Linked DNA regions of Callithrix jacchus. The protein of the gene in region 1 interacts with the protein of each later gene in a pairwise test. Links are inferred from orthologs where the notes say so. Each region holds a gene or a part of one and is shown on either strand. Other genes may lie near its edges.

What was found.
Region 2: the proteins of CEP70 (region 1) and ATP5PO interact in binary tests that used the Homo sapiens proteins (3 or more experiments, as listed by UniProt). The two-hybrid records come from large-scale screens. The link is inferred for Callithrix jacchus from reciprocal best matches to the Homo sapiens genes CEP70 and ATP5PO.
Region 3: the proteins of CEP70 (region 1) and BEX2 interact in binary tests that used the Homo sapiens proteins (3 or more experiments, as listed by UniProt). The two-hybrid records come from large-scale screens. The link is inferred for Callithrix jacchus from reciprocal best matches to the Homo sapiens genes CEP70 and BEX2.

Annotation. Positions count from the first base shown.
Region 1 is NC_133518.1:45,829,590-45,833,240, forward strand, and holds part of CEP70 (centrosomal protein of 70 kDa), read left to right. Parts: intron 1-1,893; coding exon 1,894-2,040; intron 2,041-2,213; coding exon 2,214-2,382; intron 2,383-2,561; coding exon 2,562-2,676; intron 2,677-3,651.
Region 2 is NC_133522.1:39,988,996-39,992,746, reverse strand, and holds the start of ATP5PO (ATP synthase peripheral stalk subunit OSCP, mitochondrial), read left to right. Parts: upstream 1-1,364; 5' UTR 1,365-1,387; coding exon 1,388-1,423; intron 1,424-2,619; coding exon 2,620-2,670; intron 2,671-3,751. UniProt on the Homo sapiens protein: Subunit OSCP, of the mitochondrial membrane ATP synthase complex (F(1)F(0) ATP synthase or Complex V) that produces ATP from ADP in the presence of a proton gradient across the membrane which is generated by electron transport complexes of the respiratory chain.
Region 3 is NC_133524.1:99,382,589-99,386,339, reverse strand, and holds BEX2 (protein BEX2), read left to right. Parts: upstream 1-1,559; 5' UTR 1,560-1,689; intron 1,690-2,106; 5' UTR 2,107-2,192; intron 2,193-2,556; 5' UTR 2,557-2,561; coding exon 2,562-2,948; 3' UTR 2,949-3,192; downstream 3,193-3,751. UniProt on the Homo sapiens protein: Regulator of mitochondrial apoptosis and G1 cell cycle in breast cancer.

The DNA.
Region 1 (3,651 bases):
CATACATGGTAGGCCGGCCCATGGTAGTACTTCTACGTCTCCACAACTAGGCAATGTAAAGAACCTAGGAGACCCTCATATTTTTCAAAGCTTACTTGATGAACTGCTACAACCATCCTCTCACTGCTTAGGAGACCAGAACATCTTTTTCTTAGCTTTGTAATACTCTTTTATTCTGAAGCAAAAATGTATTAGATTGGGTGTGCTTTTTTCCATAAATTACTTTATAAATGTGCCTTGTAGCTGGAGCATTGATTAATAAAGGGGTCATTATGCTGTTGCTTACTGACTTTTTTTTCCTCCCAAATTCTAGTGGCACTGATTGTAAAACATTCATTTGACACAGAATGTATTGCTGTGAATTACTAAAATAGGTAACTGTCTTCCTACCAAACGAAAGGTTAAAGATACCAATATGTGAAGTGTGAGCCTTAAGTGGAGAGTGTCAAGTGAAGTACTAAAATAAGTTCGAAAAAGGAAGAATTTCTTGTACTTCTTTCTGTTCTCTAGAGCTGTGCTGTCTTGTATGGTAGCCTCTAGCTGTATGTGGTTATTGATCTCTTGAAAGGTGGCTAGTCCTAATTGAGATGCGTTAGAAGTATAAAATATACACTGGATTTAGAAGACTTCATATGGGAAAAATTGAAATATTGATTTTATATTGAAATGATAATATTTTGGATATATTGGGTTAAATAAAATATTACAGTTAATATCACATGTTTCTTTTCACTTTTCATACTATGGCCCTAGACAACTTAAAATTACTGTGGCTCACATTACATTTCTTTTGGATAGCATTGTTCTAAAGGACTAAGCACTGTTCCATACATATATGAATTGAGTATCCCTTATCTGCAGTGCTTGGGGCTAGATTAAGAATTTTTTCAGATTTTGGAGTATATGCCATTTGAGCATCCCTGATCCAAAAATCCAAAATTCAGAATGCTCTAATGAGCATTTCTTTTGAGTGTCATGTTGCTCAGAGTTTCAGATTTTAGAGCATTTCAGATTTTTGGATTAGGGTTCAGTAAGTATTTGTCGACTGACCAGTCTAGAATGCTAAACTTCCAGTAGCCTTGCCCATTGTGCACAGTTTAAAATCACTTAGGGCATCACAGCTAGGACAAGAAAACAGAGTATTGTAAAGTAGAATACATTTAGAGAACCTTTCACATTGAAAACCTGCCTGGAGGTACATGTTATAACATTATGCTAAGTGAGAGAAGCCATTCATAAAAGACTGCTTATTGTATAATTCCATTTATGCAAAATGGCCAGAATAGGCAAATCCATAGACACAGAAAATAGTTTAGAGGTTATCCCCTGGAGCTGTGGGAAAGGAAAAATGAGGAAGGAAGGACTGTGAGTGGGTCTGAGATTTCTTTTTGGGGTAATGGATATGTTCTGAAATTAGATAGTGCTGATGTTTGTACATGTGTGAAAATATTAAAACTGAATTGTATACTTAATGAGGGTGAATTTTATGGTATCTGAACTACATTTCAATAAATCTGTTATTCAAAACTAAAATACAAGGGCAAGTTTATTCTTTATGTATCAACAATTCAAAATAACAAAATAACATGAAACAATAATAAATAATATAAAATTACTTAGAGCACCCAAATGCAGAATAATCAATATGTAATGTTTTCTGTAAAGCCTATGTTTACCTGGAGAAACCTAATTTTAACTGACTTGTTCTAAATTGGTAATAGTGTTATTAAAAAATACCAATGATGGTTACATATATATATATATTTTAACCTGCCTATATAATGTTTTATTAATTTTATAAAATACATAAAACTTATAATTTTATTAATTGTGTTATATTACTATAGAAATTATTTAAATCAATAATACCATATAGTTTCTTTTGTTATAAAGGATTTGTATAAGTCCTTGAAAACACTATCTGCAGAACTGGTACCTTGGCATAATCTGAAGAAGCAGGATGCAAATGAAGGTATCAAAGTTGAAGATTTGTTATTTATAGTAGATACTATGTTGGAAGAAGTTGAAAATAAAGAAAAGGTAATAATACTTACATAAATGGTCACATTCTAATGTACTCTTATCTTAAAAATTGATAATTTGATGTGGATATTAATATTTGTTCTACAAGAGTTCTGTTTTTCTTTTAAAAGTTTTTATTTGGGATTATTTTAAGATATGAACTCTTTCTTTTTTACCTCTCTTTTGGACAGGACAGCAATATGCCAAACTTTCAAACTTTGCAAGCTATTGTCTCTCACTTCCAAAAATTATTTGATGTGCCTTCTTTAAATGGAGTCTATCCTCGAATGAATGAAGTTTATACTAGGCTTGGAGAAATGAACAATGCTGTGAGAAACCTCCAAGAACTCTTAGAATTAGGTGATGACCTAATTTGTCATTTTTGGCCCCCATTTAAGAATTGTTTTTAATAAATTAACAAAAAGTAGATAAAATTTTTCTTAAGTAAAAAAAATTGAGGATAACTGAAGCATAAAATGTTTGATGTATGTAATTTTGGAAATTTTCTGTTGAAATATCCTTTTATTTCTCTTTTGCAGATAGTTCATCTTCATTGTGTGTGTTGGTAAGCACTGTTGGAAAACTCTGTAGGCTGATTAATGAAGATGTGAATGAGCAGGTTATGCAGGTATTAGGACCTGAAGACCTCCAGAGGTACTCATTTCAAAAGTTTACAGAGTATCATCCAGAATGGCCAGGTGTGGTGGCACACACCTGTAGTCCCAGCTACTTGGGATGCTGATGTGGGAGGATCACTTGAGCCCAGGAGTTTAAGTCCAGTCTGGGCAACATAGTGACAGCCTGTCTCTAAACAATAAAAGAAAAAATAAGTATTGTCCAGAATTCATGGAGGGGTGAAATTAAAGACTTTCAAAACTCATTTACCTTCCCTATTTGGAATAGCATCTTTTCTCTGTGTGTGTTTGTGACTGTAGGCACACACCACCATGCCCAGCTAGTGTGTGTGTGTGTGTGTGAGTGTGTGAGTGTGTGTGTGCACGTGTGCAGGTAGAGAGACAGACAAGTTTTCACCATATTGCCCAGACCAGTCTCAAACTCCTGGGCTCAAGCGATCTGCCTGCCTTGGCCTCCCAAAGTGCTGAGATTACAGGTGTGAGCTACTGTGCCCAGCCTTGGAATAGCATCAATTTTTTTTTTTTTGAGACAGAGTTTCGCTCTTGTTGCCCAGGCTGGAGTGCAATGGCGCGATCTCGGCTCACCGCAACCTCTGCCTCCTGGGTTCAGGCAATTCTCCTGCCTCAGCATCCCGAGTAGCTGGGATTACAGGCACGCGCCACCATGCCCAGCTAATTTTTTGTATTTTTAGTAGAGACGGGGTTTCACCATGTTGACCAGGATGGTCTCGATCTCTTGACCTCGTGATCCACCCGCCTCAGCCTCCCAAAGTGCTGGGATTACAGGCTTGAGCCACCACACCCGGCCTGGAATAGCATCTTTTAAACAAGTTGACAACCTAAGATAATCTCACACCCTTTGGGACGAGAAAATGCCAAGTATTTAAAAAATAAAAATAGATTGTAGGGCTTATAAAGGTCAGGAACTCTTCAGCATAATCCTGTTCTCAGGAAATATTATATATGGAGAAGTTCAAACCTTGTCAGCAACTTT
Region 2 (3,751 bases), on another chromosome or scaffold:
CGATTCACAGATGGAACAATGGCGAGCACACACCTGGACACGGGAGAGGAAGGGGTACTTATTCCTGATGGAGGTCACCACTGCTGCTGTGTCATTCCCCTGTTGTCTAGGGTTAGATCACACAGTCTAGTCTAATTCCAACTGGCTATTTTAAAAGGAGCAGGGGTACAAGCTGGAGTGGCAGGGTGGGTAGTTTGGTGGGAAGAACGGTTACAGGCAGATCAGACTAAGTAACCAGAGGTCAAAGCAGGTGACCAGAGTAGGTGACCGGAATGAGTCAGGACGAGCAGGGGACGGGGGGAACAGATGTGAACTAGTGATTAGAACTGGTGGAAATGTTTGTTTACTGAAACTACAAGGGAGTCAAACTTTAAAATGGAGAATTAAAGAATAAGAGAGCTGAACACACTGACACACTGATTATTTGAAGAGAAACTTGGGGTTCACTATATTTAACATTCTGAACCTTCTCGTAGGCCTATCTATGCATGCACCTCCTTGTAAAAATCCAGTTTTACCAAAACTGCTAAGTCAGTTTAGCCAGAACCCCCAATTCCTGATAACTGATCATCCTTGATATCTGATCAGGGTCCTCATCTTTCACCATCCCCCAGGTGATGTGTGATCACCCTGGCCCGTCTTCTACAAGATTCCTTTAGGTCGATTTAGCCAGAATCTCCCTTACACTTGTTTCCTCTTAGTAATTTTATATCCACTGACCATTCCACTGCTTCTTGATATGGGAATTTATGAGGAGTTGAGCTCAATCTCTCTGCTAACTCCAAGACTCAATTGCACTGGCCCTATATCCATCGCTATGGTCCTGAATAAAGTCTTCCTTACCAACAACCATCATTGAATAATGTTTTATTTAACAGTGGGCAGTCATGGCCCAGGTAAGAGGGACGTGATACCTGCTCCTGGAGGGGGAAGGCTCTTGGGCACTTTTTGTTTTTGTTTGGTTTTGTCTTTGTATGCAACATGAGAAAAAGCCATTGATGCAGGCTTTAGCATGTTATGAAGGAAGTGTAAAGAAGCCAGTGACGCTGGTAATAACTGTGAAACTGAACAAATGCCACCATATTTACCTAAACGTAAATTTTAAAACTGGGGATAGCAAATCCATTCTACAGCGAGGGCCGCTTAGCCAGTAAGAAGGATTTCATTTTCAGGTGCAGTCGAAGCCCTCTGGCTCCACCCCCAGCGTCCAGCCCTTACCACTGCTAAGAACTACAACTCCCAGCCGGAGGGAGGTCTCTGCGCATGCCGCCTGACGCCCTACGACCTACACTTCCCAGAGAACCTAGCGATTACGCTAACGTGCGCCTGCGCCCTTGTGCACCACTCGCTTCTCACTCTGGTTTGACCTACAGCCGCCCGGGAGAAGATGGCTGCCCCAGCAGTGTCCGGGGTCTCCCAGCAGGTGAGAGAAAGGTGGTCCCGAGAGCCAAGGGGAGGATCCCTCCGGGGGTGACCGGTACCAGACCCAGAGCGCGAGGGTGCGATGCTTAGGCTGGGGAAGTCTGGCAGTCTTCAAGGTTGCGGGGCCCGGCGACTCAGGGCGACCCAGTGTTTGTCCCCCAGATGCTTGCGGGGCTGCGCGTGTCACGACCTTGGCGTCCTTCGAGCACAGCCTTGGGAACTGCTCGCCTGAGAGGCGCCGCAGAGAGGGTCTGCGCTTCGCTGGATTCCTGGGAAGGGGCACGGCCTATCCCCTAAATCAGCTTTCTTTGCCATTGTGGTAAAACTTGTCAGAGATCGCTAGTAATGCCAAGGAACATTCGTAAAACACATTTCACAGTTTTGTAAAGAAAATAAGGCGGAAAAGTTTAAATGAGTCTTTGGCTGCTCAGCCAGTAAGTGGTGGAGTTGCGATTTGAACCCACGGAGTCACCCAGAAGATGAAGTTTGAAAAAATGTTATGCTCTTTGTACTGCATCTCCTCTTGGTGCTTTACGTATCATGACCCCTTCCTTGCATCTGAGGCAATTTTTACGTAAGCGTTAAAAAGTCTTTTCTTCCTCACAAGCAGTTTTGACAAAACACATTCCATAGCTAGAAGTATTTGAAGGTGACCTGTGATCTGTGACCTGTGCACTTGCAGGTGATTTTTAAACTGTGGATTCCATCTCTGTCTTCTGATGAGCGGGAGACCTTCTCTCAGATCTAGGGCCTCTTGCCGGTTAAAACTGCGGCAGTACTCAAAAAATTTATCTTTATTTTCAGATAGCATTTGGATTTCGAGGAAGGTACATCTGTTTGCAAATTATCTGCCTAAGGGTGTTGTAATAGAAACGCCAAAATTTTCGTTAAATATTTTAGAAACATGCACTCTTGGAAGTTAGTGTTTCTCTGTCATACAGGTGTGCTAGTCTCGGCCCATTCCTAGCAAAGTAGGATGTTAGTGGGAAGGTGATTTCCCAAGCAACTTGAGATAATCCTCACTGGGTAAGTTTACTCCTTAGTAATAAAAAGTAGCTAAATGTAATATGTGGTGATACAAAGAGACAAAACTAATGATTTTAAGGTCATTTAAAAAATTGTTTTGTTGTTACTGAGTTAAATGCAGAAACCCTCCAAGTAATCTTGTTTGATCTACTTTGCTTTATTGCTTTGAAGGTGCGATACTTCGGTACATCTGTGGTCAGACCATTTGCCAAGCTTGTGAGGGTATGTTAATTTCTGTTCTTCTGTAATTATAAAGCACGTGCAGGTGTGAGCCAAACAGCAGTACAGTCAGGGCGTGGATTTTGGGTAGTTACTATCTAAACCTTTTTGCACATCTCGGTTCCCAGAATGTGAGGTATGTGCAGGGTGGAGAAAGGAGTGATGTTGAGTACTTGCTTTGTGACAAGCCTATGTGTAATCTTTAAATATGAGAACTTGGTTTTTAATCATTTGTTTTTCCATTCTCCCTCTAAAATAGGCAAGCTAGCATTTACTTATTCTTTTAATGAAAGAAACAGGTTTAACAAAGTGGCATGCCCAAGTTATCACAGAAAATTATTGTTGGAGTTGATACTAAAATCGAGATACCAGACTGGGTGCGCTGGCTCACTCCTGTAATCCCAACACTTTGGGAGGCCAAGGCAGGCAAATCATGAGGTCAGGAGATCAAGACCAGCCTGACTGACAAGGTGAAACCCCGTCTCTACCAAAAATGCAAAAAATTAATTAGGCATGGTAGCAGGCACTTATAATCCCAGCTACTTGGGAGGCAGGATAATTGCTTGAACCCAGGAGGCAGAGGTTCAGTGAGCCAAAATCACACCACTGCACTCCAGCCCAGGCAACAGTGTGAGACTCCATCTAAAAAAAAAAAATCAAGGTACCTTGGTTTCTAATGTAATTCTGTTGCACATCTCCATGTTCCATTCTGGTAAGGACTGTTCATACCCTTTACACCCTTTCTCTCCACTAAGCACCAAGGAGGGTCACTATTTCTGAGAGTTGCCAGTCCCCTTCTTTTCAAACCGGTAGTCCAGTTGCCCCCAGATAAAGAAGACTATTAGTGACACATAATAAATGAAGTTCCCCAGGAGGCCTCCATAAATGACACATGGCTAACAGCTGGTAGCAGCTGGAACATGATGTCTGACTCCGTTTCTGTGGGTTATTTTGAAATTTCTTTATTTGATTAAAGACAGTTCCTGTGTGATAGAGAATTGATTCAACTGTCAGGGAGTAGGAACTTCTCAAAGATGTGCTGGGCCATCTAGCCTACTCACACTTTTCCCCCACCAAATCAACA
Region 3 (3,751 bases), on another chromosome or scaffold:
GGAGATGGATGGAGCAAACCACTACCATGGCACGCATAAACCTATGTAGTAAACCTGCACGAACTGCACATGTATCCCAAAACTTAAAGTATAATAAATTTAAAAAAAAAGAATTCTGTTATTTCAGCACCATTTGTTAAAACACTATACTTTCCATATTGAGTTATCCCGACATCTTTGTCAAAAGTTAATTAACAACGTAGGTATCAGTCTATTTCTGGACTCCCTATTCGGGTTCTATTAATCCACAGGTCTGTGTTTACTACTACATTAACTACTGTATCATTATAATTTAAGTCTTGAAATAATATAATGTAACTCTCAAGATTTGCAGGATTTTTGTTTTTCTTTTCCTTTTTTTTTTTTTTGAGTCTGAGTCTCGCTCTGTCATCATGCTGGGGTGCGGCAGCGTGGTCTTGGCTCACTACAATCTCTGCCTCTGGGGTTCAAGCGATTCTCCTGCCTCAGCCTCCCGAGTAGGTGCGGGCCACCAGGCCCAGCTAATTTTTGTATTTTTAATATAGACGGGGTTTCACCATGTTGGCCAGGATGGTCTCTATCTCTTGACCTCGTGATCCACCCGTCTTGGCCTCCCAAAATGCTGTGATTACAGGCATGGGCCACCACGCCTGGCCTAGGATATTTTTTAAAAAGTATTTGTCTGTTTTAGGTCCTTTGCATTTCCAAATGAATTTATGAGTAAGTTTGTAATACTTATCTTGTATCTGCAACCTTCTTAAAATCAATTCTTACTCCTATAGTAGATTAACTGTAGATCTCTTCGGATTTCCTGAATTCATGATTATTGACATGCAAATAAAGACATACTTATTATCATTTGAACCAGAAATTTGTGAAAAAGGTCTTTTTTTTTCTTTTAGTTCTGAAAACCCAACAAAGCTCTGTAGCACTACAACTCACTAGTTCATCTCATAGAAGGGCCTCATATGTCCAGGGGCCCCTCAAAAGGGGAGTCATCAGCTGCCCTGTCCTTTTCCAAGTTCTAAAAAAGCAGCTGTCGGTAGTGTCTATATTTGTATAATGATTTAACAGGACAGGTGGTTAGGATGTTTTCCCCAACTTTAATCCCGTTTTTCAATTAAAAATAACATTTTTTCCTCTTTTAAGACGTATATATTTTTTGTTTCATATGAAAGAACACAGAAAGGTATTAAGAATGAGAAAAGTCTACTCTTTTGGGCTCCTTTTCTGATATACCTCTTCCACTAGTTTTAGTGGAGGGAAATCAGAGTATTGGTAGGAGAGAGGACAGAAGGAGGTGAATCCTGGGAGCCAAGGACAGAGAGAGGCAAGTCCCCAGAGTGGGAACGGCTAACATCTCCCTGAGATGATATGTTCCTCCCTGGGCAGGCAGAGGAAGTCCGAAGAACACACAAAGAAAGGAGAGTGGCAAAGCTCAGGCCGGGGATGTTCAAAGGGACTCCCGGTGTGAATGGGGGCTGGCCCGAAAGCCCCGCCTGACTCGGGGCTGCAGGAGGGGGCGTGGGACGGGGGCGGAGCCGCTGGCGATGACAACCGCCCCACGTGACCTGCCAAGTGAGTCTGTCTCGCTCTGGTGTCAGAGCCGCCGTCGCTCGCTCCCTTCTCGGCAGCGGTACCTGCTCCAGGTGGCCCTGAGAACGTGCGGGCCGGGGGCGACCCCGAAAGTAGGAAGCGGAGGGGAAGCAGGTAAGGGACCTGGAGGAGATCCCTGGGGTTGGTGTTGGGGAGCGGCCCCGGCCTGAGGATGACCCACCCCCGGGTAGCCGCGCGGTGACGCAGGCGGTCCACCATGAAGCAGACCCCGGGCCCCACCGCCTTCCTTGAGCCGAGAGGTGCCCGGCCTCGCGAGAGCCGGCGGTCCTGAGGCTACGACCCTTCGGAAACACCTGCCTCCGCCACCTGCGCAAGCTTTTCCGACACCCCTGCCCCGCCCTTCTTGGTGCAGAAAATGGTGGTCATCTTGGGGGGAGGGGCTGCTGAGGCGGGGGGCGAGGGCGGCGAGGAGGGCCCGGGCTCGGGACGGGGAAGGGGCTGGGTGACAGCTTGTCATCGCTAGCGTTCCGCTCCAGCAGCCCCCACTCCCTGCCCCCTGCTCTTCTGCAGGTCTGAGGGACTAAGTGTCCGGCGGCGCGCCTCGAGTCGAGAATCGGGAGGAGGAGATCGCAAGGATAGGCCCAGGTCGGTGCGAGGTACGGTGGTGGGGCGGGGGTCGGAACGTGAGGAAAGCCCAGTCTGAGACCCCAATCCATGCCTTCACTCAACACTTCGCAATCCTTCCCCTCCCCCACCCCATCCTCGTCCTCCATTTTGGTGCCTGCAGAGGCCTGGAGATGGATCTGCAGGGAAGATGGTGGGCTTTGCAAGAGAGAGGGGCTAGGATTGTCTCCCCGCGAGGGCACACTGGGTCTCTCTGGTGGAAAAAAAAATGAAATTTTAAAATGGCCTTTGAAGTCCAGGGCTCTGAATTTTGAAAGGTGTATAGTAGGGTCTCTGTCCTCGGTGCTGATCGGTTCACCAAGAATTGAGTCTCTTTTTTTCTCTCTTGTCTCCTAGGAGTAATGGAGTCCAAAGAGGAACTAGCGTTAAACAATCTCAACGTGGAAAATGTCAAAGAGGAAAATGAAGAAAAAGATGAAAAGAAGCAAGTTGCTAATAAAGGGGAGCCCTTGGCCCTCCCTTTGGATGCTGGTGAATACTATGTGCCCAGAGGAAATCGTAGGCGGTTCCGCGTTAGGCAGCCCATCCTGCAGTATAGATGGGACATGATGCATAGGCTTGGAGAACCACAGGCAAGGATGAGAGAGGAGAATATGGAAAGGCTTGGGGAGGAGGTGAGACAGCTGATGGAAAAGTTGAGGGAAAAGCAGTTGAGTCATAGTCTGCGGGCTGTCAGCACTGACCCCCCTCACCATGACCATCACGATGAGTTTTGCCTTATGCCCTGAATCCTGATGATTTCCCTGAAGTTTATAGGAAGACCCCTGCTTCCTAAACTTACATATTTGTGGTGTACCTTTGTTGCAAACCTTTTGATGTTACTTATTTCTTGTGGGTCTCCTGATACCAGCTTCTAACTGAATGTTGTTTCTGACCCAGTTTGTAAGTTTCTGTCAGCAGGCGAGTTTTACCTACTGCATGGAAAGATGCTCATTATATATTGTGAAGTTAATAAAGCAGTTTTAAAAAGCATTCTCTGCATTCTTTTTTACTTTAAATCTTAAATATGAACATAAACAGTCATGTATATATACATATATACACACACATATATAGTAAATAATGTTTATCTCTGTGGTAGAATTAAAAGGGAATTTTATTCTTGCTTATCCATCATTTCTTATTTTTCAAAATGGAACTCTATTACTTATATATGACCACCTTATAAAAGCAATGTGTACACTTATTAAACATTTATGACAGAATCTCAATTTGAGCTTACCCCTGGGATCTCTTTTTAGAAATGTAAGTGACACATCTCTCTGAAGATCATAATATTTATCAGTAAGATGAAGACAAGCAACCTCCCAGGGTTGCTGTATTGACCAGATGAGAGAATAAGGTTGTGAACTTTCTCCCAAGTTCTTGCTCTTAGTGACATGCATGACCCAACCCTTTAGATATTTCCTTCCGTTATTAGAGGACATTTCCGAGGTGAGGTCTTCCCTATGCTTACAAGTCCAGTAGGCTTAGGAGTAGGTACTTTCATTCCTCTGCTGCTGCGTTCTATTGTCATCTTCCCTGGATATTA